4 linked regions of the Notamacropus eugenii genome follow. The protein of the gene in region 1 interacts with the protein of each later gene in a biochemical or structural test. Links are inferred from orthologs where the notes say so. Each region holds a gene or a part of one and is shown on either strand. Other genes may lie near its edges. The genes, in order: UBE2M, CAND1, NAE1 and SMURF1.

Region 1 (7,257 bases):
GGGCTCCCCAGAACGCCGGGGTCCCGGAGGAGGGGCCTAGAGGGGGCGCTGCGTTCCGAGATCGGGGGAACCAGAAGGCGGGGTCCCCCGAGGAGGCTGTCGGAGGGGGGCTGAGGCCCGGACGCCGGCGTCCTCTGGGGGCGGGGGGGCGCGCCTTCACTCACCGGCCCCGAGCTGGAGGCACAACCGCCGCCTCCGGGAAGCCCCCCGGGTCGCGCTGGACTCCGGGGCCACCCACCCGCGCCGCCGCCGCCGCTGCCCGGGGTCTGCTCGCCGCCTGCTTTCTCCCACAACCCGCCGCTGCTTCCGGATACCGGCGCCGTGACGTCACTGGCACGCGCCCCGCCCGGGGCCGAGAGCCGTAGTGCGCAGGCGCGCGGGGTCGGACGGCCCGCAGAGCGCGCCGGCGTGCAGGCCGGCGCTCCAGCCCCGCCCCCCCTTCCCCGGGGCCGCAGGTTCGGGTCCAACCCCGCACGGACAGACGGGACGCACGCACGGACAGAAGGCCAGGAGGCAAAGGCACTGCATCAACATTCCCCTTTAATAACCTGACACGAACTCGAGTGGGAGTGGGGGCGGGGTCCGGGGACAATCCAATTCATTTCCCTTCTCTGATCCGGACGACGGGGGCGGGGTAGGGCGGCGCCCATCAATCACGTGGTTAAAAAAACTAAACCCAAAAAAGAACTGGGGGCGGCGCGCGGCCGGAGGCCCCCTCCCCATCCCCACTCCCGCGCGAGGCCCCGGCCCCCAATAAATACGTGGCCCGGGGGCCGCGGACGCCCCGCCCCCCGCCCCGACCGGGGGAGGGGGCCCGGAGGAGGGGGAGGGCCGGCTCGGGGGGCGGGGCTGTCCGTCCGTCCGCCCGCCCCCCGCCTATTTGAGGCAGCGCTCAAAGTACGTGGAGCCGATGTAGCCGCCGCGCATGGAGCGCTGCACGTTCTGCTCGAAAAGGCGCCGGTTGTTCTGGAGGACCTCGGCCGCCTCCTTGTTCAGGGGATCCTCGGGGTTGGGCTCCTGCGGGCCGGGATCCGGTCAGGCCCGGGGCCCCCTACCCCCCCCACCCATCGCCCCACGGCCTCCACCCCCGCACTCATTCCCCTCGGCCCCCCCCACGCACTCACCAGGAAGAGATACTGCAGCCCGTAGATGATGGAGTTTATCGTTAGCACTGGTTTCCAGTCCTCTCTGTGGAAGGAGAAGCGCCCCCCAGCCCAAAGGGCTCGGCCTCAGCAGGGCAGCCCCACCTCCTCCTGGCCCACGGGCAGTGCTCCTCATCCCATCCTGCCCACCCTCCCCCCAGGGTCCTAAATCGGAAAAGAAGGTTCAAGCCACATCTGTGTGCCCTTCCCTGGTCTCCAGCTTGGTCACTTCTCCACAATGGCTCTCTGCTGAGCCCTGTCCGGCCATCTCCTCCTCAAGGCTACTGCCAAAGTGCTGACCCCCAGCAGCACCAGGCTGACCGTAACCCTCTGGTCCTCTGTCTTGGCCACTGTACCCTCACAAGTTCCCCTCAAGGGCCAGCAGGCCAGAAATGACCTTGTTCTCACCGGGGAAGTTGGGGTGGCCACTTACCTGAGGATGTTAAGGCAGACATTGCCCTCAAGGTCGATGTTGGGGTGATAAACCATGGTCTCACACTTCACCTTGGGTGGATCGTGGGGGTAACCCTGGCCAACCTGGGGACAGAGAGGCAGTCAGAGGCCCTCGGCCCCTCCCCCAGGGCAGTTTCTGCCCCTCCCCTTCAAAAGACTTACCTTAAAACTAAACACAAACTTGCCAGCCTTGTAGAAGCCCTGGAAAAAGAAGGGAAAGGAAAGGAGGGGAGGCTGATTGGGGCTGCCTGCTCCAGGTACCTCCCGGCACACAGTCCCCAGGCCCCTGGGAACGGCTTGGAGAAGGACAGAAGTCGGGAGAGGCCCATGGCGGCAACATGACCGACGCGGGGGGAGGGGGCCCTCACCTCATCCGGGCAGATGACCAGCTTGAAGTTGAGGAGGTCGTCCTGATCAGAAAAGTCGATCTCGCAGGTCTTAGGCAAGTTGAGCTCATTAATGTCTGGAGGAGAGTGGAGGGCAAGTTATCTGGGGACCATCATCTACACCCTGAGGTCAGGGGCTGGTCCAGGTAGGATCGGGTCCGGGGTGGGGTGGGGACGAGGCCGCAGATGGCCCCGGTTGGGGGGGGGGGGGGGGGCAGCCCCTGGTCCCAGGTGGGGGGTGGGGGCAGTTGATGATACCAGGTGGGGGTGGGGGCAGCCTTGGGTCCCAGGTGGGGGGTGGGGGCAGCCCTTGGTCGCAGGTGGGGGTGGGGGCGGGGCGGCCCTCTCCCCCCTCTCCCCCCTCCGCCCGGGGCACCTTTCTGGATGCGGAGCTGCGCGGCGGAGGCCTTCTTGCTGCTGCCCTTGGTGCCGCCCGCCGACTCCTCCTCCTTCTTCTGCTGCTTCAGCGAGAACAGCTTGATCATCCTGCCGCCGCCGCCGCCTCCTCGGGGCCCTGGCCGGCCGGCCGCCCCTGCCCACTGTCCGCCGCCTGCCCGCCCCAGCCCCCGCCTCCGGCCCCTGCCCGGCTCCTCCGCGTTCCGGCCCCGGCTGCTCAGCTCAGCGCCGCGCTGCGCGGCCCGTCTCGGCTCCCGTAGCTCGCTCGGTCCGCTTCGGAAGTGTTCGACTCCCTCCGGAAGGGCTCGGCTCCGCTCGGGTGCCTTCGGAAGTGGGCTTCGGCTTCGCCCCGCCCCCCGCCCGGCGGCCGCTCTCGGTCCCGCCCCCTCCTCTCCTCCTCCTCTGTCCCAGATCGGGTTCCCGGCTGCCCTTTCTCTGTCTCTCTGTGTCCCTCTTTCTCTCTCGCTTACAGGCTACGAACCGGCTTCGGCCTGGGCCAGGCCCTCAGCCTGGGCGGTCGCGAAGGGCCTCGACAACGGTCTCGGGGCGCCCCGACGCTTCGGTGATTTCCGCCGCCGCCTCCCCCGCTTCGGCTCTGGCCGCTGTCGGCCCCGCGGCGCGCATGCGCAGACGCGGCGCGCAGTCCGGGGCCGCGCTCGGCCATTTCCGGGCGGGGGCTTCTGGCGCTTCCGGAGGAGATTGACCTGCGGGCTGCCGACCGAGCTGGCTGGGGGAGGGGTGCGAAGGAAGGCTCTTGGAGGGCGGAGGTGGGGGGGGCCACGGGAGGAGGAAAGAGAGTTACTAGTCTCCAGGGAGCTCTTAGTGCACACATCGACCGCGACAGCGCTGGCAGCTGTCAGTTTAGGCCAGCCCCGCCTACGTGCCCGCCCATTGGAGAAGGCTCGGAGGGCGTGCCAATAGTCGTCGGGCTCTAGGCCCGGGGGCGGGGCTGTGGCGCTAGCCTTATACGAATATCCCGGAAATGCGGAGTAGGCGGGGATGACCGAATCTGAGCTGCAGCTTCCGGGCTTTCGGTCTCCATGACAACCGCAGGCCGGGAGGAGGGGCAGCGAGGCGCCGCGGGAGCGCGGGAGTCCCGGCGTCACCAGGGAGACCGCATCGCCTCAGAAGCGGTTGGTCCCGGGGCCGAGACTGAAGGCGAGAAGGACGCGAGCCGGGAGCAGGCGGAGGCGGGCCCTCATCCCCATGGTAACTCCGCTTCTCCTGCGCCTAAGAACCGAATCGCTGAGCATTGTGGGAAAGGGCAAGGAGTCTGCGCGCCGCCTGCTGGGGAGCGTAGTCCAGCGGGGGCTGGGGGCACGTGATGGGGAGGGGATGGGGCCCTGCAGGGTTTGTACTGGAGAGAGGGGAAGAGCTGCTTTCGGCCGACCCCCTCAGTAGTTCTCGAGCGTCTCTTCTCGTTTGGGGGGGGGGCTGTCTCACCCAGGAGAACTGAGACCTCATTGGCCAGCTTCGGTGGGGGAGGGGGCGGACAAAACCCCTGTCCTTTTTTGCCTGCGTACCCCAGTGCACTCAGGTTGGCACACTGTAGGTGCCTAATAAGTGCTCATTGACTGCCACGCGACCGTGAGGGGCGCACCTGAGCCTGAGTTCAGATCCAGCCTCAGACACTTGCTAGCTGGGTCACCAGTCTGCCTCAGTTTCCTCACGTGTCATTTGAGCTGGAGGGTCAGCACTGAAGGGGCGCCTGGCCTGGAGGAGGGCCCCCACCCTCTGTCCGCCCTCTCCCCTAGGTGCCAGTGGCCGGCCCGAGGGAGCCTTGAAGGACGCGCCAATGGCGCACCCCCACCCGCGGGGGCAGCTGCGCTACCCCAAGCCGTTACGGCTCCTGTGCCAGGCCGTGCCCCCCATCCTCGGCTCTTCCCGCTGCAGACCCAGCCTCTCCCTCTGCAAAGGGCCCCCTCCCTTGCTCATTTCGGGGGCTCCTTTTCCCCTTGCCCCCAGCGCCCTGCAGTGCAGGGTGCTGCTTCTGCCTCCAGCCTCCCAGGGACCCCGGCTCATCCATCTCCAGAAGGGCCCTGGCCCCCCTCCGCAGGGGCGCCTCGGCGCTGTCTCCACTGCACCCCAAGCCCCTCTCCTGAAGAGCCCCATGCCCTCTCAATGCCGGGTGCTCGGCTGTCCCCGGCCCCAGAGCTGCTCCCCGATGGGGGCACCTCCTCCCTGTACTCCGAGTCCCTCCCGCTCCCCCCAGACCAGATCTCATCCCCTGAAAGGGAGACCCCCCCTCTCCAGGGCCAGCCCCTCTCCTTGCAGGACGGTGTCCTCTTCTATCTGCCTAAAAGTCCAGCCTCTGAAGGGGAAGCCCATCCCCTTCAGTCCCAGCCCCTCCAAAGGCAGAGCCTCATCTTCCCTGAGACCCAGATACCACCCAGTCAAGAAAGCCCCCCACACCTCCAGTCCCAGACCTTCAGGTTCCCTGCAGCCCAGTTCCCCGCCTCTGAAGGCATGCTCTGCCTCCTCCCACTGCGGGAAAGCCCAGGCTCCTCCACTGCTGGGGGCCCCTTCGACCATTGACCCTAGTCTGTCCTGCCGGGGCTTGCTCCATTCTCTGAGGCTCAGCCCCTCCAGACACAGGGGACTGGCCTTCCCAGTGAACATGGTCCTGGCCTCTCCAGAGCTCCTGTTCTCCCCCCGGGCCCAGGATTTCAGAGAAAGAGAGCTGGGGTTCACTATCCTGCCCAGACTCTCCTCCCCAGAAATCCCTCCCAACTCCCCTACTTCTGGCTTCAGTCCCACCCCAACCCCCTGCTCCCTTTATCCTGGCCTGGGTTCCCCTGAGTCACAGGATGGCCACAGTTCCAGAGTGATCCAGTCTGTGCCCCTGTCTGCGGTGAGCACGGACCTTGCAGAGCCCCAGGCCTTTTCAGGGGGGCATGATGGTCAAGGACGGGACTTGGATACGGTCATCCTGCAGCCACAACAGGAAGGACAGCATCTCTTGGGGTGAGGCCCTGGGGATCCCCACCTCTTCAGCACCCCAGGGTTTTGGGGGAGAACGGGAGGAGAACCGCAGCGACCCCCTGCTCTCATGTGCCTAGGCCTGCTGTCCAGGTTTGGCCCTGGCCTCGTGGCGGCAGCCACCAGCTGGGCTCCACCTCCGGCTTTGGCTGTCTCTTCTGGCCGTGTTCCAGTGGTGCTTCCCATGTGAGCTCCGCAGGGGCTCTGCCCGTCCAGAAGCATCTCCAGCTGTGCTCTCCTGCCCCCCGTCCCCAACACCTGCAGTCTCCCTGAGAGCAAGTCCACCCAGGGGAGAGAGCTTTGGCTCCCCTGAAGTATCAGTAAAGTGGGGGTGTGGAAAATGAGGACTCACTTCTGGGGGATGCCAAGGCTGGCAAGACACCACCCGATGGTGAGGCCCCTGGTCTGAAGCGGGGATGGAGGGTATTTGGGCCACGGGAGGGAAACACGAGCCTCTGCTCCCAGTGAGGTGAGGTCACTGTGGCAGCCGAGGGCCAGCTAGACTGGAGGGACAGCCCTGGCCAGGGAGAGACTGGAGACAAAGGGGAGGGGCGATCTGTCGGAGGAGATGGGACAGCAGGCAGAGGGGGGGCCAAAGAGTGAGCTCACGGTTTTAGGCCTCAGCGTCTCATAGGGTCTCAGCAGAGGGGAGCCATGAGAGTATCTGGAGGGCCTCTCACTGATAGAATCGAATCGAATTCAGCCAGCCCTTTGAAGCATCTTTCCTGCCCTGAGGGATGGAGAGGCCTATCTACTGGGCTGTGGGGGTGAGATTGGGCAGGGCCTCCTCTCCATCCCTGGGCTCTGGGCTGCTACAGGACACCCCAGGGGAGATGGGGGGAAATGTGCATCTGTAGTCAGGGTGGTCAGCAGACACAGACAAGAGGATTGGGGAATGCACTGAGAGACCTGTGGAGGTTACCTGGTTCAGGCTGTTCAGGTGACACAGGAATAAACTGAGGAAGCCCTGAGCTAGGAATGGGCTTACCCCAGACTCCTCGGGTCTCCTGCCCAACTTCCAGTAGCACTGGGCTTCCTGCAGGCCCCAGGCAGCGCCTGCTGGGGCAGGTGCAGTGAGGACAGTTGGTGCCAACCTTGGCCCACAGTCCCCTCCCACCTGAGGAGAGGTCCCTGCCTGGGGGGTGGGGGCGGTATTAACCCTCCAACAATGGACTCTCACCTGGAAGACGCATTGGATTCATAGACCATTGGATGGGATGCTGCGTGCTGGAGATGTGTATAGCTGTGTTACCATGAGCAAGTCACTTGTCTCAACCTCAGTTTATTTGTCTATAAAGTGGAGTTAATAACATCACCTTCCTCTCAAATGAGATACAGCACGTGTAAGTGCTTAGTAGCCTTCCTTAGCAGCACCATGTAAATGTGCACTGTTGTCCCAAAGGACAAGGCCCTCATTTTACAGATAAGGAAACAGGCATTCCAGAGCAGGGCTGCACAGCAAGTGAGTTGATAGGATTTAGACACTTGAGAAGTCACCAGGTTGGACTGCTCCCCTCAAAAGGTAGACACACAATGAAAAACTTCGCAGCCTGGTGTGATGGGTCGCAACTGGCATCTCTGAGTTGCAGGAGGGAACAAAGCTGATACAACATCCCTGCTAAATCTCTTCCTGTGCCCATCAGCCTGGGTGGGAGAGGGAGACCCAGGCCCAGAAAGAAGGCTGGAGCCTTAAGATGTCACCCCCAGACTTAGGCCAGCGGCCCCCACAGAGACATGCAGAAGACCCCCAGCTCTCTGCTTCATTCTCCCTATTTCTAAGGCAGAGCCCTCTGGGTGTCCCACCATCAGTGTGGTGAGGCAAACATGAGAGAAAGATGAGGGCTGCTTGTAACAGCTCCGAGCCTTGAGCCATAGATGGTGGTGCCTGGCACATTGGGTTG
Region 2 (7,047 bases), on another chromosome or scaffold:
ATGAGGCCCCTACCAAACTGAAAGTCTACACTGCCATTGTGCTGAGCTCATTGTTGTATGCCTGTGAAACTTGGACAGTCTATCAACGCCATGCCTGAAAATGGAATTGCTTCCATTTGAACTGTCTTAGGAAGACTCTGAAGATTGGCAAGATTGGACACTGAGGCCCAAGCATTCAAATTCTACTTCACGGAGCAATTCTGATGGGCTAGCCATGTTGTTCAGATGCCAAATGTCCTGTTTGCCTAAACGACTATTTTACAGAGAACTCACAGAAGGCAAGCGCTAACGTGGAGGTCAGAAGAAGCCATACAAGGACAGTCTCAAAATCTTTCTGAAGAACTTTGGAATCAATTTTGGGACAAAGGAGACACTGGCACAGACTGTCCAGCATGGTGTGCCAGAATCAAAGAAGATGCTATGCTCTGTGCCCAAAGCAGAATTGCAGTAGCTCAAAAGAAACGTGGTGAGATGCAAAACTTTAAAGATATCTCCACTTCCAATGTTCATATGAACTATTTGTGCCTGACCTCTAGTAGAGCCTTTTGAACTTGTATTGGTCTGATCAACCATAGCTGGGCACACTGTATCTTCACTTGAACATAGTGAAGTTATTTTGGTCCTCTGTGAAGTATGAAGAAAAATAATCAATGATTATTAGATCACATTATGACGTGGAGGTGACCCTGATGTTTTGAAGGCTACGTCAATGGAGAGCAAACTGTGGCAAGCTGGAAAGCCTTCACTTACTGGCCTGGTGACAGATTTCATTTCTGTTGCCTAACAATCAGTTTCCCTAAATTTGAAGAGGTTCAATACCAGATACTTCATAGGAAGATTAGTTTTTTGTCCAAGGGGACTCTTAAAAGCTATATAAGCTTGTGAACTTTGCCAGTAATGGGATGATCTACACTATTAAAACCACAAATGCTTGAAATCTTAAAGTTAGTACTGTAAATTGAGTTTGACTAGATGAATTATCCAGTCTTTTCAAACTCTAAAGTGATATGACTCCACTGTTGTATATTCTGTCTGTTCCCAAGAACATTTTAGCCTCCTGGGAAGATTAATTCATAGATTGATAACAACACAAAGATACTGTCAATTACATGTGCTATGGCAAATAATACTGAAGCAGTTCAGCGGAGAGTGCACTGTGACCTTGAGTGGTCTAGTTGATGGAATATCTCAGAGGAGAAGGCATTGAGCTAAACCTGTAAGGAAGGGTAGGATTTAGGTAACTGAAAAGGAAAGAGAACTTGGTATGGTGGATAGGATTCTGTACTTGGAGGCAGGAAGTTTTGTGTTCAAATTCTGCCTCCTGTACTTATTAGCTGTGTGATCACAGACAAGTCTCTTATCCTCTTAGTCTGTTTCCTCATTTGTCAAAGGAGAGGCTTGAATGGTCTTTAAGGTCCTTTCTGACTTTAAACTTGTGAAACTAGTAGGTTTCACAAAAAAAATTACATAAAAAGGCCCAGAGGAGAAAATACTGTTTTGTCATGTTAGCCAATCTGATAGGTGTGATGTGATGTTTTAATTTGCATTTCTCTAATCAATAGTCATTTAGAGCATTTTTTCATATGACTATAAATGGCTTTAATTTCATCTGAAAACTGTCTGTTCATATCTTTTGACCATTTATTAATTGGGGAATGACTTGTACTCTTATAAATTTGACTTAGTTCTCTATCTATTTTAGAAATGAGGCCTTTATCAGAGACACAGGCTATAAAAACTGTTTCCCAGCTTTGTGCTTCCCTTCTAATTTTGATTGCATTGACTTTTTGCAAAAACTTTTCAATTTAATGTAATCAAAATTATCTGTTTTGTACTTCATAATGTTCTCTATCTCTTGTTTGGTCATAAATTCTTCCATTCTCCATAGATCTGAGAAGGCAAACTATTCCTTGCTCTCCTAATTTGCTTGTAGTCTCACCCAAATATTTTATGTTGTCTACAGTTACTTGAAATGGAATTTCTCTTTCTATCTCTTGCTGATGGCTTTGTTAATGATATATAGAAATGCTGATAATTTATGTGGGTTTATTTTATCTGGCAACTTTGCTAAAGTTAATTATTTCAAGTGGTTTTGATACTTTAGGATTCTCTAAGTATACCATCATATCACCTGCAGAGTGATAGCTTTGTTTCTTCATTGCCAATTCTAATTCAGAGGAGAAAACACTTAAGGCAAATTCATAGGCTTAGTCTAGCTGAGACAGTGAACTTAAGTAACAGCAAAAAGATGAAAAAAGAACTCCTTAGCCTGGCATTTAAGGCTCCACATCTTGTAGTTCCAGGCTAAATATAGTTTTAATCCTTAAACGACAGTTCTGAATAGGTATAATATAATAAAACTTTTCAGAAGATTAATCTGGCAGTAGGCTACAGGATGGGTTGGAAAAGGGAGAGACTGAAAGTGAAGAGTTCAGTTTGTAGGCTGTGGTCTGAATGTGAAGTAAATAGGGGCTGAACGAGAGTGATGGTAGAGAAGGAAAATACAAAAATGAGTGTATATCCTTTACCATCACTCCCTTGAGAACAGGAATTTCAAGAATTCTAGAATTTAGAGCTGGAAGGGACCTAAAGATTATCTGGTCCAGCTTTCATGGGATGGAAACCGAGGTCCAGGGAAAGTAAACGACTTTTCCAAGATCATACAGGCAGAACTTTTTTAAACCTAAGCCCTCTGACTTAGAATATAGCCCTTTTCCCACAGTTATCACTCAAAAGCCATCTTCCCTTCCCCAGCACCAAGCATAATACCTCTCGCATACATCTTCAAAAATGTTTACTAAACTGAAATCTAAATTCACCTGTATTAGTCATTAACTTGCAGCAAAATTTCCAAGAGAAATGATCCTCCAAAAGTTGCAAAATAGATTAGAGATCTTAAATGGATAGAAATCTAGCATTTAGTAAATTACTGGTTTATTTTATGAAAAGAAGGGGCCGGAGAAACGAAAGAGCGCTAAAAATGCAGACGTTTCATTGAGCTCGTTTTCCCGGGGCAATCTTTTCTATCCCAGCTTCCTAATACTTTGGCACAAGTAGGGTTATTAAGCCTTTAGTTTAAAAGGGGGGGAGGGGGAGAGAGGCTTGTTTGGGGAGCAGGGAATTAACAAAAGAAAGTGGCATGTTCCCTGTTTACAAAGGACGTGCCTACGTGCCCATCAAACAGAGGGCAGGAAGAAGTTTGTTCCCCCGTGGCAGCACACATCACCCTGGGGAGAGATGTAAGCTCCTTGAGGGCAGGAACCACTGGTCTTTGTAAGCTGACACATGATAAGGCGCTTCGGAGGTGCAAGTTGGTTTGGGTCGGATAATGCAGGTGCAGTCCTTTCTAAGACAGAAAAAGCACGGCCGCCCTGCTGGGCACGTGTACAGGGGCCTGGGGAGACCCTGGCAGAATCAATTTTCGTGCACGGCCAAAAGCGATTCGTCAGAACTTCGCCAGTTTCAGGACCCAGAGATCCCCGCGCCTGCGGCCCGCTTTGGCCAACCCACCAATCCTGGGATTCGTTCCTCTCTCCGAGAAGGAAAGGGAGATTGGAGGAGGGAAAAATAGAAGCTGACAGCGGCAGCAGCCAATCAGGTCGTGTCTGTGGATGACGTCTAAAGGGCATGACGGGATTCGTAGTCTTTGCGCGGCTGCACTTTAAGATGCCGCAGGCCACGCGTCCCACGCGAAAGCCCACTCTTTCCTTGGGCTGGATTCCTTCATTAACACAGCCCGGGGCCTTTATCTTTTTCTTCGCGTTTAAAATCCCGCACTGCTACTCCCCATTACGCGCATGACGCTCCAACCCATCCTTTACCGTTTCCTAGCTCATCCCTGTCTAACCTGCAGCCCCGCGCCCTTTAACCGTCGCTTGGAAGTCTCGAGAGAACACCTCTCTCTCCGTCCCAGTCACGCCTTACGCACGGCCGTCCCCGCGCAGACTGACACGCCCCTGGGCCAATTGGATAGCCACCCATCCGGGCCGCGGCGGGGGCGCGCTCGTCGCAGCGTCCGTAACCCTTGACCCCGGGTTTCCGTACTCTTTTGGTACTTAAGTACGCAGCGGGAGCCGCGGTCGCCGTCGCCCCCCGAGTGCAGGAGGCGGGATTTGGCCGCTTGCCTCTGGGAGGAAGGGAGCGAGCGAGAGGCCCGAGCAGGACCGTCTGGCTCCCGGGAGAGGCCCTCGCCGGACTTCCCGCCCCCCCCACCCCCTCCCCGTCGCCCATGAGACCGGCCCCTCGCGAGCAGCGCTGTCGTTAGGCGGGCCGCGCCGCTTTCTCTGCTGCTCCCGGGCCAGGCCCGCGCTCCGCGGGAGGGGGCAGCCCTTGCAGGCGCCTCCCTCGTCACCGCCGCCGCAGCGCCGGGAGCGGGCCGGGCCGCGAGCCCCGGAGCTAGAGGAGGAGGAGGAGCCGCCCGGACCGTAGCCGTCAACATGGCGAGCGCCTCGTACCACATCTCCAATCTGCTGGAGAAGATGACATCCAGCGACAAGGACTTCAGGTGAGGCCGCGAGATCCGCGCGGGGCCCCACCCCTGCAGCGCCGCCGCCGCCCTCCCCGCTCCGGGCCTGGCCTTGCCCCTTCCCCGCCGCGAGGCCCCCGCCGGGGCGCGCCCCGAAGCCGCGATCGATAGCCGGGCCGGGGCGAGGGGGGTGGGGCGGGGGAAGGTCGGGCCGGTGCCGGAGGCCCTGGGCCGCCCCGGGCCCCCCTCGGGAAGGGAGCAAGGAACGAGGCCGGGCGCGGGGAACGGTTGGATTCCTTGGAGGGTTGGGGGCGCTGGAAACTTGCCCGGGAGGAAGCATGTTGGGGGGTGGGGGAGTTTCCCGCCTGCGTCCTTGCCCCCTCCTCTGGGTAGATTAGATATTTTTATGGGGGGGGTTGGGGGCTTTCGATCCACGCTTTCTCCGTGTCTCGGCCCGGCGCCCCTCCTGAGTCTGAGCCCCGGGGGGCCGGGGGAGGGGGGCTCGGAGAGCTGGAAGCCGCAGGAAGCCTTGGAGCTCGATCCCATTTCCCCGGGGCCTGTTTGCATGTGATCTCCTCCCCGGCCCCACGAGAGCGCAGGGATCGCGCTTTAAATTTTAAAAGAGAAAGCTTTGCTGCTTGTATCCCTACCTCCAGGTCTGCGCTAACACTCCCGTTCAAGGAAAGGCCGCAGACTGCCTCGTCTACACCTTAGAACGCTGCTGGCAGGCTTGACACCTGGCTGGACTTTGTGGCAGTCTTATGCCTGGTAGTAGATCGGGTACGAAATTCAGTCTGGGCGCATGTAGTCCTGGAGGGCGCTCCATGTGCCACAGGGAAAAACGTATTTTTAAAATCTCTTTGGGACTTAAGTTTTATGGTACGAAGCCTGTGGGGATGAAACTTGTGTGTCTAAACAGTCCGCCTTTACTTAATGTGATGAGTGAAGAAACTCGTGTCCTTTGTGCGTTATTTCTTCTCCCGCCACCCCCTTTAAAGTGTACCAGTCCTGCCGGACGCAGAAGCAGCGTTTTTATTTCGTGAAACAAGGAGGTCTTGAGAAAAAAAAATTCCTAATTCTAATTTAATTAAGCTGTTATAGTTATGATCTTTAGTAACCCAGTAGATTGAAACTTTAGTTCTGGGACTTTTTGACCAGATGGATTGTAAGTAATTTTGCGCTGCCAGGAACTTTCTGCCGTATAGGCAAGATTCAACATTTGGCTAATCTTGAGGACCATTCACTCATGGATTGATTATGATTTTCTGAAAACCTTATTTACTTGGTCATAATTCTAAGTACAAAAAAATTGTTATTCTTTTAAAACCAGAAAATTACTCATATTCTTTGAACTTTTTCTTGGTTTCCAACTTGTCACTGAAGTTTAATCGTTTTAATTTGGAAACTTTTCGATATTGAGCAAGTGCATGGTGCGATTTTTAAATTTACTATCTATCTCAGCTTGCTCATTAAAATACTCACTTCTGGTGGTATTGAGTTTCAGATTTTAATACTTGTGGTGATGGTGGGGAGATCTACCTCTAATCTTGAAGCATATGGTAAAACACTGGAACAATTTTAAGTATATTTTATAGGTATCATTCTAAATGAAACATAAAACAAGTAATTTGCAGATTTTTTTTACATATTTTCTTTCTCTTTAAAAAGAAATCATTAAGCAGTGAAGACTGTCATAGAGGAAAGTAAACATTTGTTGTTGTATTCCTTAGCTTCTTACCACCTACTAGATGCTTAGTAACCATTTTATTGAAGTTCCAGGATCTTGAAGTCAATTGGGAAAAACCTATTTTGGGGGAATACTTTAATAAGTAATATCTGCTTGCTGTCTGAAATTTCCCAGAACATTGTTTGAGGGATTAGTTATTTAAAATAAGATTACTGAGCATGACTGGCATATGGAAAAGACTGGATGAATTTCCAAATATGCCTGAATCCCCAAATATTCTGATAATTTGGCTTAATTTAAGATTTTTTTTCTTCTGTTTGATATATTTTCATCTGATTTTCTAGTTATCTAAAATATTTTAAATGGAATATGTAATGTCTCTATTTTTATTATTAATGAGAGTATGGGACTGAAGAGAACAGCCCATCCAATCTCACTCCCTCAATTTACCAATAATGAAACTGAGGCCCCAGGGAGGTTAAGTGATTTGCCCAGGGTCACACAGGGATAAACAGCAGCAGAATTTGAACCCAGGTTCAGAACTCTGAGTCAGGTTCTGACTCTAGAGTCCATGCTCTTTCCATCATTCCATGAAATGAGTTTATTGAATTTGATGTTCCTTTTCAGCTTAAAAATTCTGTGAATTTTCATTCTAAATTCAAGTTAGACTGTAGACATCAAGAGTGTATTGGTGCCAGCTCTAACTGGTATAATCTGATTCTTAAATTTTCCTTGTGAGCATTTATACCTCAGAAATTGGCAAGCTAAAAATAAATATCAAGGCTTTAGTTTATTGGAGTTTATTCTGTTTGTTTTTTGATTGTCTAGACTTTTAAAAGTGATGGAGAAAATGTTAGCAGTGTAGATTAATTAGACTTAAAAATGTGGTCTGTAG
Region 3 (6,828 bases), on another chromosome or scaffold:
GATTTAGAGCATTTTTTCATAAAACTATTGATAGCTTTGATTTCTTCTGAAAAACCACGTGTTCATATCCTTTGACCATTTATCAATTGGTAAATGATTCTTATTTTTATAAATTTGGCTCAGTTCCCTATGTATTTGAGAAATGAGGCCTTTATCAGAGAAATTTGCTGCAAATAATCAGTAAACATTTATTAAGTAACTACTATGTGCCAGGTACTGTGCTAAGTCCTGAGGATGCAAAAAGAGGCAAAGGAGTCCTTACCCTCAGGGACCTGCTGACCATCTAATGGGAGAGATAACAAACAAACATGTACAAACAGCCTACCTATAGGAAAGAATTAAGAGGGAAAGCACTGGAATGAAGAGGGAGTGGGGACGGTTTCTTGTAGAAGTGAGCTTTAGTTGGAACTTAAAGGAAGCCACTGAGGTCAGTAGTAGCAGTAGAAGAGAGAAAGCATTCACAGTATGGGGGACAGTTCTAGAGTTACTTTACTTAGTTTCATTTCTTGTCAAGCTTTAAGTAAACTTGATGTTACCTCCATGGCTTTTTGCTGTTTTATGTGTGATACTGCTCAAAATTTCTCATCACTTTCCTTCCTAAGCCTTTATATCCAAGTCAATATAATTTAGTACAATGACTGGCACATAGTAGGTGCTTAACAAATGTTTATTGAGTGATTACTTTCACTAATGTTGCTTTTCATTGTCACTTTCCCCCACCCCTTTGCAAGGAGATTGGGCATTTGCTGGAGAAGCCCCCCTTCCACTGTGTTTTCCCCTACCCTCAGCTTTAGCTGCTGGTGATTATAGCTCCAGTTTCATTAAACAATTACCATCAATTAGCTGTTATGATGGACTATTGACTCTGAAGATATAGCAAAAAAAAGCATCCCCTCAAAACTTTGGAATGCAATCTCCTCTATACCTCCTCAATCTTTAGGGAGAGAGAGTAGAATTAGCAGTTTCTACATAGCACTGTTCTCCCCAAATTCACATACAACAGAACAATGTTATATACTAAATGCTAAAGATACAAAAAAAAAGCAAAACCAGACCATACCTTCAAAAAGTCCACAGTCTAATGGGGAAGACAACATTCAAACAACTATGTTGTTTGTTGTTGTTTTTGAGGAGGATCAGTGACATCACTGATGACATCTTGACTTGCAAGTCAGTTAGATTTAAGTGAGGCAGAGTTGCACAAAGTTATTCAGTCTCACTCTCTCTTCCAGGTCCAGTGGCAGGACAAAAGACAAGAGGACCGTCAATGGCCAGGGATGTACCTCGGCATCTTCAGTGACCAAACTCTAAGCTCTCCACAGCACCTGCTTCAGCTGCCTTCTTGGTGGTTGGAACAAATTGTTCTCTTCCATCCATTCCAATGGGGAAGTCTTCTCATGCTTGTGGTAGATATTCCCCTAACTCACTGACAGGTTTAAGACCTATTGGTTACCCTCAACCTGCTTTAACCCCTCTGCTGAGATGGTTTACTGGGATGTGGCCATTGGGATGTGGCATGGCTATAGCTTCTTGGAGTCACAGGTGACAGTTGGATGCCAGGTGGATGAGCAGGCCTGATACCAGAGGTGCTAGTCCTCCCTGCACACCCCATACATCAACAAAGGGAGGGCACTACCATTCAGGAGGATGGGGATGGGGATGGGCTGTAGAAGATGGGATTTACATGAGACTTGAAGGAGGCCAGAGAAGCCAGGAGGTGGAGTAGAGCAGGGAGAAAGTTCTAGGGATGGGAGTACAAGGGGTGTAGAGCCATTGAAAAGGTACAGATTCAGGAGATGAAGCATCTTGTGTGAAGAACAGCAAAAAAACCAGAGTTACCGAATTACAGAGTGTGTGGAAAGGAGTAAAACATAAGACTGGAGAAGTAAAAAGGGATCAGGTTGGGAAGGGTTTAAAAGTCAAACTGAGAGTTTTCTATTTGGTGCTGTAGACAATAGAGAACCATTGATGTTCACTGAATGACGGGGATGAGGAGGAGGTGGGACATCATCATGCTTATACTTTAGGGGAGATCAATTTGGGGGCTAAATGAAGGATGGACTGGAATGCTCAGTCTGGAATCAGGAAGACCTGAGTTCAAATCTAACCTCAGATATTTACTAGCTGTGTGATCTTGGCCAAATCACTTAGCTTCCTTTTCCTCAACTATAAAACAGGAATAATAACAGCACTTAACCTCAGGAAGGTTGTTGTGAGGATCAAATGAGATAATTGTATTACACTTAAAACAGTACCTGATAAATACCAAGTGCTTAATAAATATTTATTCCCTTCGCCTTGTTCTTTCTCTTTGGTTGCCTCTGCTGATGGTGTTACAATAAGAGGGGCAATACTGTATACGGGGAATAGCAATGGGTCTTTCTGATTTGAAGCCAATATGTAGCCAGTGAATATAGGTCTTGGTTCTTTGCTTTGGTATTTGTCCTTTTATTTTAAGGGAAGGAAAGTGTTAGCTACTTCTCTGTAAACTTTAAAAGTTTAAGAGGACAAGCCACCAGCAGATTGGAATTCGCATCCAGCTGTCTAGATTTGAGGTCCCAAGGAGCAAAGACGTACCTACAGGACCCAGCCAAGGGATAGTAGAGAGGGCAAGGTCTGTTTTTGCTTTCTTTGTATCCTTAGCACTTAGCACGGTGCCTGGCACATAGTAGGTGTTTAATAAATGCTTGTTGCAAGTTGTTATATGACTGTGATGGAATATTATTGTGCTATAAGAAATGATGAGCAGGCAGATTTCAGAAAAACCTGGAAAGACTTCTATGAACTGATGCTGAGTGAAGTGAGCAGACCCAGGAGAACCGCCACATGATGCAGACTTAGCTCATCTCGGCAATACAATGGCCCAAGATAATTCCAAAAGACTCCTGGTGAAAAATGCTCATCACATCCACAGAAAGAACTATGGAATCTGAATGCAGACTGAAGGATACTATTTTCACATGTTTTTTGTTTTTTCAATCTTGTATTTTTCCCCTTTTGTTCTGATTCTTCTTTCACAACATGACTAATGTGGGAATGTCTTTAACATGACTGTACACGTATAACCTATATCAGATTTCTTGCTGTCTTGCGGAGGTGAGGAGAAAAATTCAGAACTCAACATTTTACAAAAATGCATGTTGAAAACTATCTTTACTTGTCATTGGAAAAAAATTAAATACTCTTAAGGAATCCAGGCTTGATGCCGGCTTGCCACTTGTGTAAACGAGTAAATGTCCTTCCCTAGGCAGGTTACTTCTCTTCCGCGGCCCCAATTTCTCCTCCGTCCAGTGAGGGGTCGGATGAGCTCTCAAGTCTCTTCCTCCAGGTTTCGATGCTTTGCTCTTGGGAGTTTTCTGGGCCTCGCTTTTTTCCTCTATAAAATGAGGGGTGGGATGACGCGGTCCTCGAGGCCTCTGCAGCTCTGACCCAGGAGGTCCAATTCGCCTTCAGGAGCAGGAGGTGACGCCAGGTGAAGATGCTCCGGGCTTGGGGCGGGAACCACACCTGCCTTCTCTGCGCATCACTGTTACAACTTATCTGGAACAAGACTTCGCCCGGGCCAGGCGCACTGGTTCAGGCTGCTAGGGCTGTCCTGACTAGGAACACCCGAGAGTTTGGGAGGAGAAATGAAATTGAAGCCACCGGTCTGCTAGGAGGATCAGAGACCCGCCTACCCATCGGAAATCCTCGCGCGTGCGCGGCCCTTTAGCGTTCCCTGCTGGCGGCTTCAGGAAGCTGCAGGGTGAAAAGGAAGCGTGAAAAGTGCGGCTGCGCGGGGACGCAAGGGCACACTGGACGGCTGCGCGAAGGCTGGGGAAAACTTGGCCCGGGCGTAGTGCGCCTGCGCGGCGGGGGCGGGGCAGCCTGGTGGACCCGGGCTGTGGTGCCTGACCCTCTTTCGGGGCGGGAGTGCGGCGGACGTGAGGCCGGGGCCCAGCGGAACCATGGCGCAGCCAGAGGCGGGAAAGCTGCCTAAGGAGCAGAAGTACGACCGGCAGCTGAGGTGAGACGGGGGTGAGGAGGCAGCAGCGACCTCCGCCGAGTCCTGACCCGGGCCGGGCAGCCCAGGAGAACGCCGGGCTCGGGGCGGCCCGAGGGAGCAGCCTGGCGAGAGGGAGCCGGCGCCAAGGCCTATCCCCCGCCCGCGTCGGGCTCAGCTGTCCTCGAGGCTCCCGAGCCCCTGGGAGGAGCCAGGCTGGGCCCGCCCCCTCAGGGTCCTGGATTGGAAAGAGAGGCCCTGGTCTGGAAGCCTTGAGTGTCAGAGCAAGGGGAGGCCCGGGAGCCTTGAGAGCCAGAGCAGGGGGAGGCCCGGGAGCCTTGAGTGTCAGAGCAGGGAGAGGCCCGGGAGCCTTGAGAGCCAGAGCAGGGGGAGGCCCGGGAGCCTTGAGTGTCAGAGCAGGGAGAGGCCCGGGAGCCTTGAGTGTCAGAGCAGGGGGAGGCCCGGGAGCCTTGAGTGTCAGAGCAGGGGGAGAGGCCCGGGAGCCTTGAGTGTCAGAGCAGGGGGAGAGGCCCGGGAGCCTTGAGTGTCAGAGCAGGGGGAGGCCCGGGAGCCTTGAGTGTCAGAGCCTTGAGAGCCAGAGCAGGGGGAGGCCCGGGAGCCTTGAGAGCCAGAGCAGGGGGAGGCCCGGGAGCCTTGAGTGTCAGAGCAGGGGGAGAGGCCCGGGAGCCTTGAGTGTCAGAGCAGGGGGAGGCCCGGGAGCCTTGAGAGCCAGAGCAGGGGGAGGCCCGGGAGCCTTGAGTGCCAGAGCAGGGGGAGAGGCCCGGGAGCCTTGAGTGTCAGAGCAGGGGGAGGCCCGGGAGCCTTGAGTGTCAGAGCCTTGAGAGCCAGAGCAGGGGGAGGCCCGGGAGCCTTGAGTGTCAGAGCAGGGGGAGGCCCGGGAGCCTTGAGTGTCAGAGCCTTGAGAGCCAGAGCAGGGGGAGGCCCGGGAGCCTTGAGTGCCAGAGCAGGGGGAGAGGCCCGGGAGCCTTGAGTGTCAGAGCCTTGAGAGCCAGAGCAGGGGGAGAGGCCCGGGAGCCTTGAGTGTCAGAGCAGGGGGAGGCCCTGGAGCTTTGAGTGTCAGAGCCTTGAGAGCCAGAGCAGGGGGAGGCCCGGGAGCCTTGAGTGTCAGAGCAGGGGGAGAGGCCCAGGAGCCTTGAGTGTCAGAGCAGGGGGAGGCCCGGGAGCCTTGAGTGTCAGAGCAGGGGGAGAGGCCCGGGAGCCTTGAGAGCCAGAGCAGGGGGAGAGGCCCGGGAGCCTTGAGTGTCAGAGCAGGGGGAGAGGCCCGGGAGCCTTGAGTGTCAGAGCAGGGGGAGGCCCGGGAGCCTTGAGTGTCAGAGCAGGGGGAGAGGCCCAGGAGCCTTGAGTGTCAGAGCAGGGGGAGGCCCGGGAGCCTTGAGTGTCAGAGCAGGGGGAGAGGCCCGGGAGCCTTGAGAGCCAGAGCAGGGGGAGAGGCCCGGGAGCCTTGAGTGTCAGAGCAGGGGGAGAGGCCCGGGAGCCTTGAGTGTCAGAGCAGGGGGAGGCCCGGGAGCCTTGAGAGCCAGAGCAGGGGGAGAGGCCCGGGAGCCTTGAGTATCAGAGCAGGGGGAGAGGCCCGGGAGCCTTGAGTGTCAGAGCAGGGGGAGAGGCCCGGGAGCCTTGAGTGTCAGAGCAGGGGGAGGCCCTGGAGCTTTGAGTGTCAGAGCCTTGAGAGCCAGAGCAGGGGGAGGCCCGGGAGCCTTGAGTGTCAGAGCAGGGGGAGAGGCCCAGGAGCCTTGAGTGTCAGAGCAGGGGGAGGCCCGGGAGCCTTGAGTGTCAGAGCAGGGGGAGAGGCCCGGGAGCCTTGAGAGCCAGAGCAGGGGGAGAGGCCCGGGAGCCTTGAGTATCAGAGCAGGGGGAGAGGCCCGGGAGCCTTGAGTGTCAGAGCAGGGGGAGAGGCCCGGGAGCCTTGAGAGCCAGAGCAGGGGGAGAGGCCCAGGAGCCTTGAGTGTCAGAGCAGGGGGAGGCCCGGGAGCCTTGAGTGTCAGAGCAGGGGGAGAGGCCCGGGAGCCTTGAGAGCCAGAGCAGGGGGAGGCCCGGGAGCCGTGAGTGCCAGAGCAGGGGGAGAGGCCCCGGAGCCTTGAGTGTCAGAGCAGGGGGAGAGGCCCGGGAGTCTTGAGTGTCAGAGCAGGGGAAGAGGCCCGGGAGCCTTGAGTGTCAGAGCAGGGGGAGGCCCGGGAGCCTTGAGAGCCAGAGCAGGGGGAGAGGCCCGGGAGCCTTGAGTATCAGAGCAGGGGGAGAGGCCCGGGAGCCTTGAGAGCCAGAGCAGGGGGAGAGGCCCGGGAGCCTTGAGTGTCAGAGCAGGGGGAGGCCCGGGAGCCTTGAGTGTCAGAGCAGGGGGAGAGGCCCGGGAGCCTTGAGTGTCAGAGCAGGGGGAGGCCCGGGAGCCTTGAGAGCCAGAGCAGGGGGAGGCCCGGGAACCTTGAGAGCCAGAGCAGGGGGAGGCCCGGGAGCCTTGAGTGTCAGAGCAGGGGGAGGCCCGGGAGCCTTGAGTGTCAGAGCAGGGGGAGGCCCGGGAGCCTTGAGTGTCAGAGCAGGGGGAGGCCCGGGAGCCTTGAGTGTCAGAGCAGGGAGAAAGACCTGGGAGCCTTGAGAGCCAGAGCCTTGAGTGTCAGAGCAGGGGGAGGCCCGGGAGCCTTGAGAGTCAGAGCAGGGAGAGAGGCCTGGGAGCCTTGAGAGCCAGAGCCTTGAGTGTCAGAGCAGGGGGAGGCCCGGGAGCCTTGAGAGTCAGAGCAGGGAGAGAGGCCTGGGAGCCTTGAGAGTCAGAGCAGGGAGAGAGGCCTGGGAGCCTTGAGAGCCAGAGCAGGGGGAGAGGCCCAGGAGCCTTGAAT
Region 4 (7,411 bases), on another chromosome or scaffold:
ACAATCCCTGACTACAAGGAGATAATTTAACTGGGAAAGGTATTTGCAAAATGCTTTGAAACACACAATTATTCAAGTATTTTGTATCAAATATATTCAATGAACTACTGAAACCTCTATAAACTATTTCAAACTAACATAATTATGGCAGCATTTATTTCAATCTTTATCTAAAAATGAAGGATTAAGATATCCACTAATATTCAGGACACATTTATAAATTATGCCTTGAAGGCAAATTCATCATACAATGGATTTATACAATCAATTTCAAAAATACAAGACTGAGAAATTTCACTATCATGGCAAAAATGGTTAGAAATTGTCACTAGACTTAATTATGTTTATCATAAGTCAAATTTGAGATATCTTACTTTAAGTCAAAGTTTTCTGCATGTCCCAAAAGTTATCGTGTAGTTTTCTCTCTTAAAGCTTAGCTAGAGAGCATGGAATTTAATAACCAAAAACGCATATACACTAGTAATTTAGAATAGGTAACAATGTGACTATTAGGGCCAGAAAACTACCTTGAATATCAGTCTAATTTAGGTATTCCTAATGTATGCTTCATAAACGTCTTTAAAAAATACTGATGACTATTTCAATATAATTGCTTCCTTTGTAATACTATGCAGTTTTAAAAAACATTCTTCTGAAAAGGGATCTCATAGTTTTCAACAGACTCCTAAAGGGTAAATCAGAAAAAGTTAAGCACCACCAGTCTAGTCCAATGTCCTTATTGTGCAGAAGAAGAAAATGAAGCCCAAAGAAGTCACAAAGGTGGTCTAGGCCTGGGGCTAGAATTAACATCTCCTTCACTTCTGGTTCAAAACACTTTCCATTTACCATAAAATTCTGCAGTCAAAAGTCCTAAATATCTTTTCAAACACTAATGTCTTCATAGTCTGTATTTAATTATGCTGCATGTTATTTACTAACAAAAACCTCTCTAAAATCTATATTTTCAAATGTCACTGCAGTAACTAAGCAATCTTCTTTATCAAAAACATTTAATGTATCAAGATGCACAATAAATCAGAAGTGAAAAAATTTCAAACTTCTTAACTTTAAGAATAGACTAAAACCAATTTTATTTTCACACTCTTTAGTTGCAACTTTTTCACACGGGTTAATGTTCAACAGACAACTGCCATCATGTCTGTTACACAACTCTTACTAAGCTCTCAATTCCCGTTTCAAGAACAATTACATTCATAGATTGACTCAAATCCATTAGGTATTCAGCAATTTAGGCAGGGAGTGAGGAGGGGGAAAGCACTTTGGAAAGAATACTGATCATTTAATCCTTTAATATCAAATGCCATCCATAAGCTCTTAAAAGTATTTCTGCAGCTATCACATTTAAACTCCTGAACAGACCAGTATATGGGGGTGAAAGGGTGGGGTGAACAGAAAGACAAATCCTGTTCTCTCTTATACTTTGGGGGTGGGAAAGAGAAGTACAAATCAAAGATCATCAGCCACAATTCATAAAAACGCTCAACAAATGCAAAAAAGTAAAACGTTTATTTCAGAAACAAAAACTCTAACCCAACTACATTTCTAACAAAACACACACATGCACTTAACAGTAAAAGAGTAACTGATCTGATGGCTATAATAGATTGCGTTGTAACTGGGAAGCAAATTAAAGTTGTCTTGTAATTAAACTTTACAAGTATTATAACGTCAAAAACATGACATTTTACGCACCCATAAAAACAACTCAACTTAAAAATATGAAGAAGTGCTTTACCTCCTAGCCTGAGTGCAGCATAATGGCTCCTCCAAGAACAAAGATCCAGGAGGATACACCTGTTGCCTTACAAAACCCCAGTCTGGGCCTGAATCATTAATAATTCATTATTCTGTCAGCTTTGTAAACAGAACTCACAAGTCCTTTTATTTAAACAGGAAACAGATCCTACAACAGGCAACAGTGGGTTTTCAAAGAGAACATATGGTTTTAAAAAAAATCACCTACAGATGTTTTTTACAAATACTTTTAAATGCCCTAACCACGCTAGGCGTTCGTCTCGATCCTCCCTCTTTTGGGGGGGGGGGGGGGGTTAAATCACACTCCTTTGACAGGAACTGGACAAATACAGACTGGAGGGCTTTTCTTTCGTGTGCCACAGACCAGAAGAAAGACCAAGAGGGGGAAACTCCTGCCAGGATCGGACAGAACTTCTGGCTTGGAAAGTCCCCCGGCAGAAATCTGTTTGCGGAGTAACGATCCCGCGTTAAGAACCCCAGGCCTGCGGCGTGCCGAGAGGGGAGCGCGGGGGTGGGGGAGGAGGGATGCCGGGGCCGGACACTGGACGCAGGATGTCTGGAGCCCGCCGGGGAGACACGGCCGCCAGCGGCAGACACCGTCCGCACCACACACCGCCCCCCTCCACCCCGACGCCGGCACCACCCCGCCCCCTCCCCGCAACAGCGCATGCGCACCCCAGGGCTTCCCCATTCACCCCTATGGGGATCACTACGGAGCTGACGGGGGAAACAGGGAAATTTCATTGAAGAAACGCGAGTGAATCGAGGAGCCAGGACTTGTGCAGCTGCCAGCACCGAGGCGGGGGAGGGGAGGGGAGCCACGGCGCGGGCCGCCCGGGGATGCCGGGGACCCCACGCAGCGCACGACCCGCCGAGGCCCGGGGGTGCGGGTCCGGCGGGGCCGCCCCCCCCCGCCCCTCCGGGGGCCCCCTCCCCTCCGGGCCCCCCCAACCCCGGCTCCCCCGCTCCCCCGCGCGCCCGTACCTGTCAGCCGGATCTTGATGCTGGAGCCGTTTCTCCGAGTCCCGGGGTTCGACATCTCCTGCCCGCGACCGGGGAGGTGGGGGGGAAGAATCCGCCACAGCCCGTCCGAGTCCGCCCCCCGCCTCGGCCCCGGCCCCTGCCTTCCTCTTCCTCCTCAAGGCTGAGGCTGGGCCGCCGAGCCCCGGGTCCGAGCCTCCCGGCCACCAACTCCAAGCAGCGGGGCAGGGTGGGTGGGGGGAAAGGGGGCGGGCCCCGCGATCAAGCCCGGAGCGGAGCAGATTTCCCACCACCCCCCACCCGCCCTCCCAACCAACCCCAGGTCGAGAGCCACCGCCTCCTCCTCCGCCTCCGCCTCCTCGGAGCTCGAGACCAGCCGCCGAGCGAGCGAGCACCGCCCTCGCCGCCGCCGCCGCCGCCGCCGCCGCCGCCGCCGCCGCCGCCGCCGCCGCCGCCGCCGCCGCCGCCGCCGCCTCCCGGAGCCGCGCGCGCTCCCGCCGCCGCCGCCGCCGCCGCCGCCGCCGCGCCTCCCCTCCTCTCCTTCCTCCTCGCGACGCGCGCGCCCCCGCCGGCGACCTTCCTCTCCCTCCCCCCGGCGCGCTCCCGCGGCCTTTTTTTTTTAAACCCCCGCCCAGCCCGTGCGTGCGAGCGTGCTTGCGCCGAACGTGAGGCGGAGACGCAAAGGACGCCGCTGACGTCGCTCCCCGAGGTGGAGGCGGGGAGGCGTCCTGTTCGGCGCCATGTTGCGGGTCTCCTCGCACCCTGCCAGCGGGAGAGGGGCTTCCTCCATGTTTATGGTCGCACGTGCCGAGCCTTAGCGACTGCACCCGAGAACGTGGGGAGAGGCCCCGCCGGGGGCCGGGGGCCGCGGGCTGGTAGCGGGGTCGGGGAGAGTGCCAAGGGGAAGCTGCGGGGACCGGCCCACGGCACTCGCTTCCGTAGGTGGGCGTGGAGCCTCGAAGTCCCGAGTTCAAATGCAGTAGTTGTGCGACCCTGAACGAGTCAGTCTTGAATTCAGCCCCACCCGCCGCGGGGCTCCTCCGAGGAGAGCCTGCGTGCCTGTGTGGTGAGAATGGTGTGCAGGCCTCAGAGCGCTGGATAAACACCCCCCCCCCCCCCCGCGGGCCCCCTCTGTTCAAGCTGCCCTTCGGCGTCCGCTCCTCACCATAGGGGGGCGGGCTGCTTTCTCCCCCGCCCCTGCTCCTTCTCTGTCCCAGACCGTCCAGACCCCCTTCCAGCCACCTAGCTGCTCACGTGGCTTCCTGAAGGCCGTCTCCAGTCCCATTGATCTGATGGGAAGTTAGTAGGGCTCTTTACTCCGGAGTCTTGCACCCCTACCGGACCGCACCCTCCTGGAGGCCACGGGCTGTGTTTTGTATTTCATCCCAATCTTTCCTCTCCCCGGTGCCCAGCTAAGCTATTGTGCGTTAGCTTGTACTCAGGTAACGAGAAGGATCTTTCTTTGGCATTGGAGAACCCCAGATAGACGGGAAGTTGCCATATCTAGGATGCTTTAACAATAAACGAAACCAGCCATAGGCAGGTAAATAAATCACTGTGGCGCCCCTACTGTGTGTTCAGCTCTGGGATTCAGGCGATGATGAAGAATTATGCATTCAGCAAATATTCTGTGGACTCTTAGAATAGTCAACGTTTTATGCTGAATAACAGGCCCAGCCCTGACAGGCCATTCTGGAGGGACAGGGAATTTCCCAAAGTTTAAACTTCCTTTGGAAACAAGACACATAGAGAAAACAAAGCCAATCACTGCACTCATATCAGGGGTAAAATTCTTAATAGAATCCTATTTGTTGAATGGTCATGTACTTGAAAACATTTTTATTGATATTTTTATATTATCTGCATTCCTGCTATAACTCTCCACCCTCCTCCTGGAGAGTTATACTTTATAACAAAGAATTTTTTTTTAAGAAAAAAAGCATTTCAACAAAACTAACCGACATACCAGGTTCAAGGTGTACAGGTGTCCACACTCATGGTTTCCACTTCTGTTTTCAAAGGGGGGGGAGGGAGTAGCCTGGTACTTTCTCTGCTTTGCCGCTTGATTTCTCTTTGCTTCCGTACTCTGACTCAGATCGTCCAGATCCCATCCCAGCCACTTGGCTGCTCACGCAGCCTTGGTGAAAGTCACCAATCCTATTTCTTATGGTGAGATGGAGGATCACTGGGTATGCTTCCAAGACCTCTAGTGCTGTCCTCTGACCTACAGATGTAGCCTAAGGACCTCTGAGCTTTGCCATTCCACTGCCTGATGCACCCTTAGGAATGAACTTTCTTTTATGTGTAATATCCCCCAAGTAGAGTGTGAGCTCCCAGAGAGCAGAGACCTTACTGATTTTTCTCTTTGTACACCCAGTGCTTGGTGTACAGCAAGTAATAAATAAATACTTTTTCATTCATTCACTGAGGCCAAGTTTCGGCATTGTAGTGTCACAGCTTTTTGTTTCAATTATTTTTATTCTTTCCCTTTAAGTTATAATCATCGTATATTCTTGTCTGCTTCCTTTACTCTTCATCAGTTTGTTTTCTCCATGTATTCTTCATGTTTTTTTTCAAGTTTTCAAATAAATTTCAATTGATAACTTTATCACCAACATTTCTCAATACATGGCTCCCTTCTCCTTTTCCCAGAGAGCCATCCCTTATAATAAGAATAATATGAGAGGGATGGCAATTAATTCAACAAAACTAACCAACATCTTGGAAAAAATCTGACACTATATAATGTTCCATAGGCATAGTCCCCTACCTATGCAAAGAATAACAGGAGGTATATTCTTATATCCCTTTGGGCATTCAGTTCTGCTGCTTTTGTTCTCTCCATTTTGAATTATTGTAGTCATATGTTTCCCTGGTTCTGCTCCAGTTTTTCATCAGTTCATGTCTTCCCATGCTTCTCTCGTGTTTATTGCTTTTTACAGCAAAGTAATATTCGGTTACATTCATGTACCACAGTTTAGTTAGCTTTTCCTAAATGCATGAGCATCTGCTTTGTTTCCATTTCTTTGCTACTATAAAAAGTGAAGCTAATATCTAAGAATGCTGTATCTACAACATTCCCCTGATCTACCAGTCTAGTAACCCTATCAAAAAAGGAAATGAGGTTATTCTGGCATGACCTGTTCTTGATGAAACTATGTCAACTATTTGTGAAAGGGACTTCTTAAAGATTCTCATCTTGTTCCAGGTACTCTGGAGTTCATAGTAATGGCCATTTTTTTAAAATGTCATTTTTATAGTGCTGTAAGTTTTGCAAAGTGTAGTAGATTATCTCATTTGAGCCTCACAGCAATCTTGTAAGATAGATGCTACAGGAGCCATATCACATTACATACTATCTTGAGGAGGGAAGGGGAGAAAATTTTAAACTTACGGAAGTGAATGTTGAAAACTAAAAATAAATTAATTTAAAAAAAAAAAAAGATACTACAGGAATTATCCCCACTTTACAGATGAGGAAACAGACTCAGGTTAAGTGGCTTAGGTTCGCAAAGCTGAATAACAGAAATAGGAGTCAAACCCAAGTCTTCGGGATTCTAAGTCTAACACACTATTCATTAAGCCACAATGCCACTCAGACTTATGGGACCTAAATGGATCTAAATCAAACTTCTTCCTCATTTTACAGTAAAGACAGTGGTATCCTTAGAGGTTAGATTACTTATTCATCATTACGTAGCTAATAAGTAGTAGAACAAGTGCTCAGTCTCACTGATTATTCTTAACTATTGAACCACAAAGGAATCAAATGTCTGGAATTTCATTCTGAAATCCCAGGAAATACTGAGAGAGGTCAAATTTTGGAAAGGGTAAATATAATGTGTTTATAGGTTAAAATATATCTTCTGCCTTAGAAACATTTTCACCAAGAAGAAATAGTTGTGACCATCCTATTCATTTGTTCCCATTTCTAATATTCCCTTCCACCATAGCAGGTTTTCATATGAATTCCCATGAAAAATATGGAAATAGTAATAGGAAGAGCTGGATGTACAACATAGCATACTCCATACCATCTTTACCACTTTTGAGGGCTTGATGGACTGCTACCTTGAAGCCAAAACCTCTGGACTATAACCCTCTGCCTTGTGTCAAGTCACCTCTGACAATGAACTCACATCTCTTCCTGTACTTTTCTCTGGTCTTTCCTAACACTACTCTTTCATTATTCTTCTAACCATAGCTCTCTCCCTTCCTGATCCATCGTTCATTTCATGTCCCCTGTTCCTCATGGCTCTGTTCTAGGGTCCATTTCTCTCCTTTGATGAATTTATTCTCTGTGGCTTTAATCATAAACTGTATGAATAAATAAATGAATGAAGATACATTAATTAAGCACTTAATATGTGCAAAGCACTGTGATGAGGGCTATGGATTCAAATAGAAAAGCAAGGCAGTCCCTACTCGAGTTCACCTTCTAATGTATGAGAAATACCTATTGGAGGTTTCAACTACAACTCAGATGGAAGGGTCCTATGGTCCTTATGTGAAGCAGATGATAATATATATTCTTTCATGCCATTTCTACTGGTGATCCTATCCATTTCTGATGTTGACAATGCCAAGGACTTTGGTGTTGAGGATTTTATTTTGTAGGTCTCTGGTAGCTCTGGATACTGAAGAGGCAGGGGGC

The links.
Region 2: the proteins of UBE2M (region 1) and CAND1 form a complex in vitro, tested with the Homo sapiens proteins (2 studies listed by BioGRID). The link is inferred for Notamacropus eugenii from reciprocal best matches to the Homo sapiens genes UBE2M and CAND1.
Region 3: of the proteins of UBE2M (region 1) and NAE1, one has a biochemical effect on the other in vitro, tested with the Homo sapiens proteins (4 studies listed by BioGRID, with this or other methods). The link is inferred for Notamacropus eugenii from reciprocal best matches to the Homo sapiens genes UBE2M and NAE1.
Region 4: the proteins of UBE2M (region 1) and SMURF1 form a complex in vitro, tested with the Homo sapiens proteins (2 studies listed by BioGRID). The link is inferred for Notamacropus eugenii from reciprocal best matches to the Homo sapiens genes UBE2M and SMURF1.

The regions. Positions count from the first base shown.
Region 1 is NC_092876.1:990,846-998,102, forward strand, and holds UBE2M (NEDD8-conjugating enzyme Ubc12), read right to left. Parts: upstream 2,735-7,257; 5' UTR 2,467-2,734; coding exon 2,358-2,466; intron 2,059-2,357; coding exon 1,964-2,058; intron 1,797-1,963; coding exon 1,758-1,796; intron 1,680-1,757; coding exon 1,576-1,679; intron 1,189-1,575; coding exon 1,125-1,188; intron 1,018-1,124; coding exon 877-1,017; 3' UTR 521-876; downstream 1-520. Other genes in the region: uncharacterized protein, read left to right, coding at 3,418-3,586, 4,132-5,341, 5,437-5,629.
Region 2 is NC_092874.1:244,372,149-244,379,195, forward strand, and holds the start of CAND1 (cullin-associated NEDD8-dissociated protein 1), read left to right. Parts: upstream 1-4,042; 5' UTR 4,043-4,436; coding exon 4,437-4,504; intron 4,505-5,169; exon of another isoform or gene 5,170-5,245; intron 5,246-7,047. UniProt on the Homo sapiens protein: Key assembly factor of SCF (SKP1-CUL1-F-box protein) E3 ubiquitin ligase complexes that promotes the exchange of the substrate-recognition F-box subunit in SCF complexes, thereby playing a key role in the cellular repertoire of SCF complexes.
Region 3 is NC_092872.1:693,761,759-693,768,586, reverse strand, and holds the start of NAE1 (NEDD8-activating enzyme E1 regulatory subunit), read left to right. Parts: upstream 1-3,826; 5' UTR 3,827-3,947; coding exon 3,948-4,006; intron 4,007-6,828. UniProt on the Homo sapiens protein: Regulatory subunit of the dimeric UBA3-NAE1 E1 enzyme. E1 activates NEDD8 by first adenylating its C-terminal glycine residue with ATP, thereafter linking this residue to the side chain of the catalytic cysteine, yielding a NEDD8-UBA3 thioester and free AMP.
Region 4 is NC_092874.1:380,144,676-380,152,086, reverse strand, and holds the start of SMURF1 (E3 ubiquitin-protein ligase SMURF1), read right to left. Parts: upstream 3,005-7,411; 5' UTR 2,816-3,004; coding exon 2,761-2,815; intron 1-2,760. UniProt on the Homo sapiens protein: E3 ubiquitin-protein ligase that acts as a negative regulator of BMP signaling pathway. Mediates ubiquitination and degradation of SMAD1 and SMAD5, 2 receptor-regulated SMADs specific for the BMP pathway.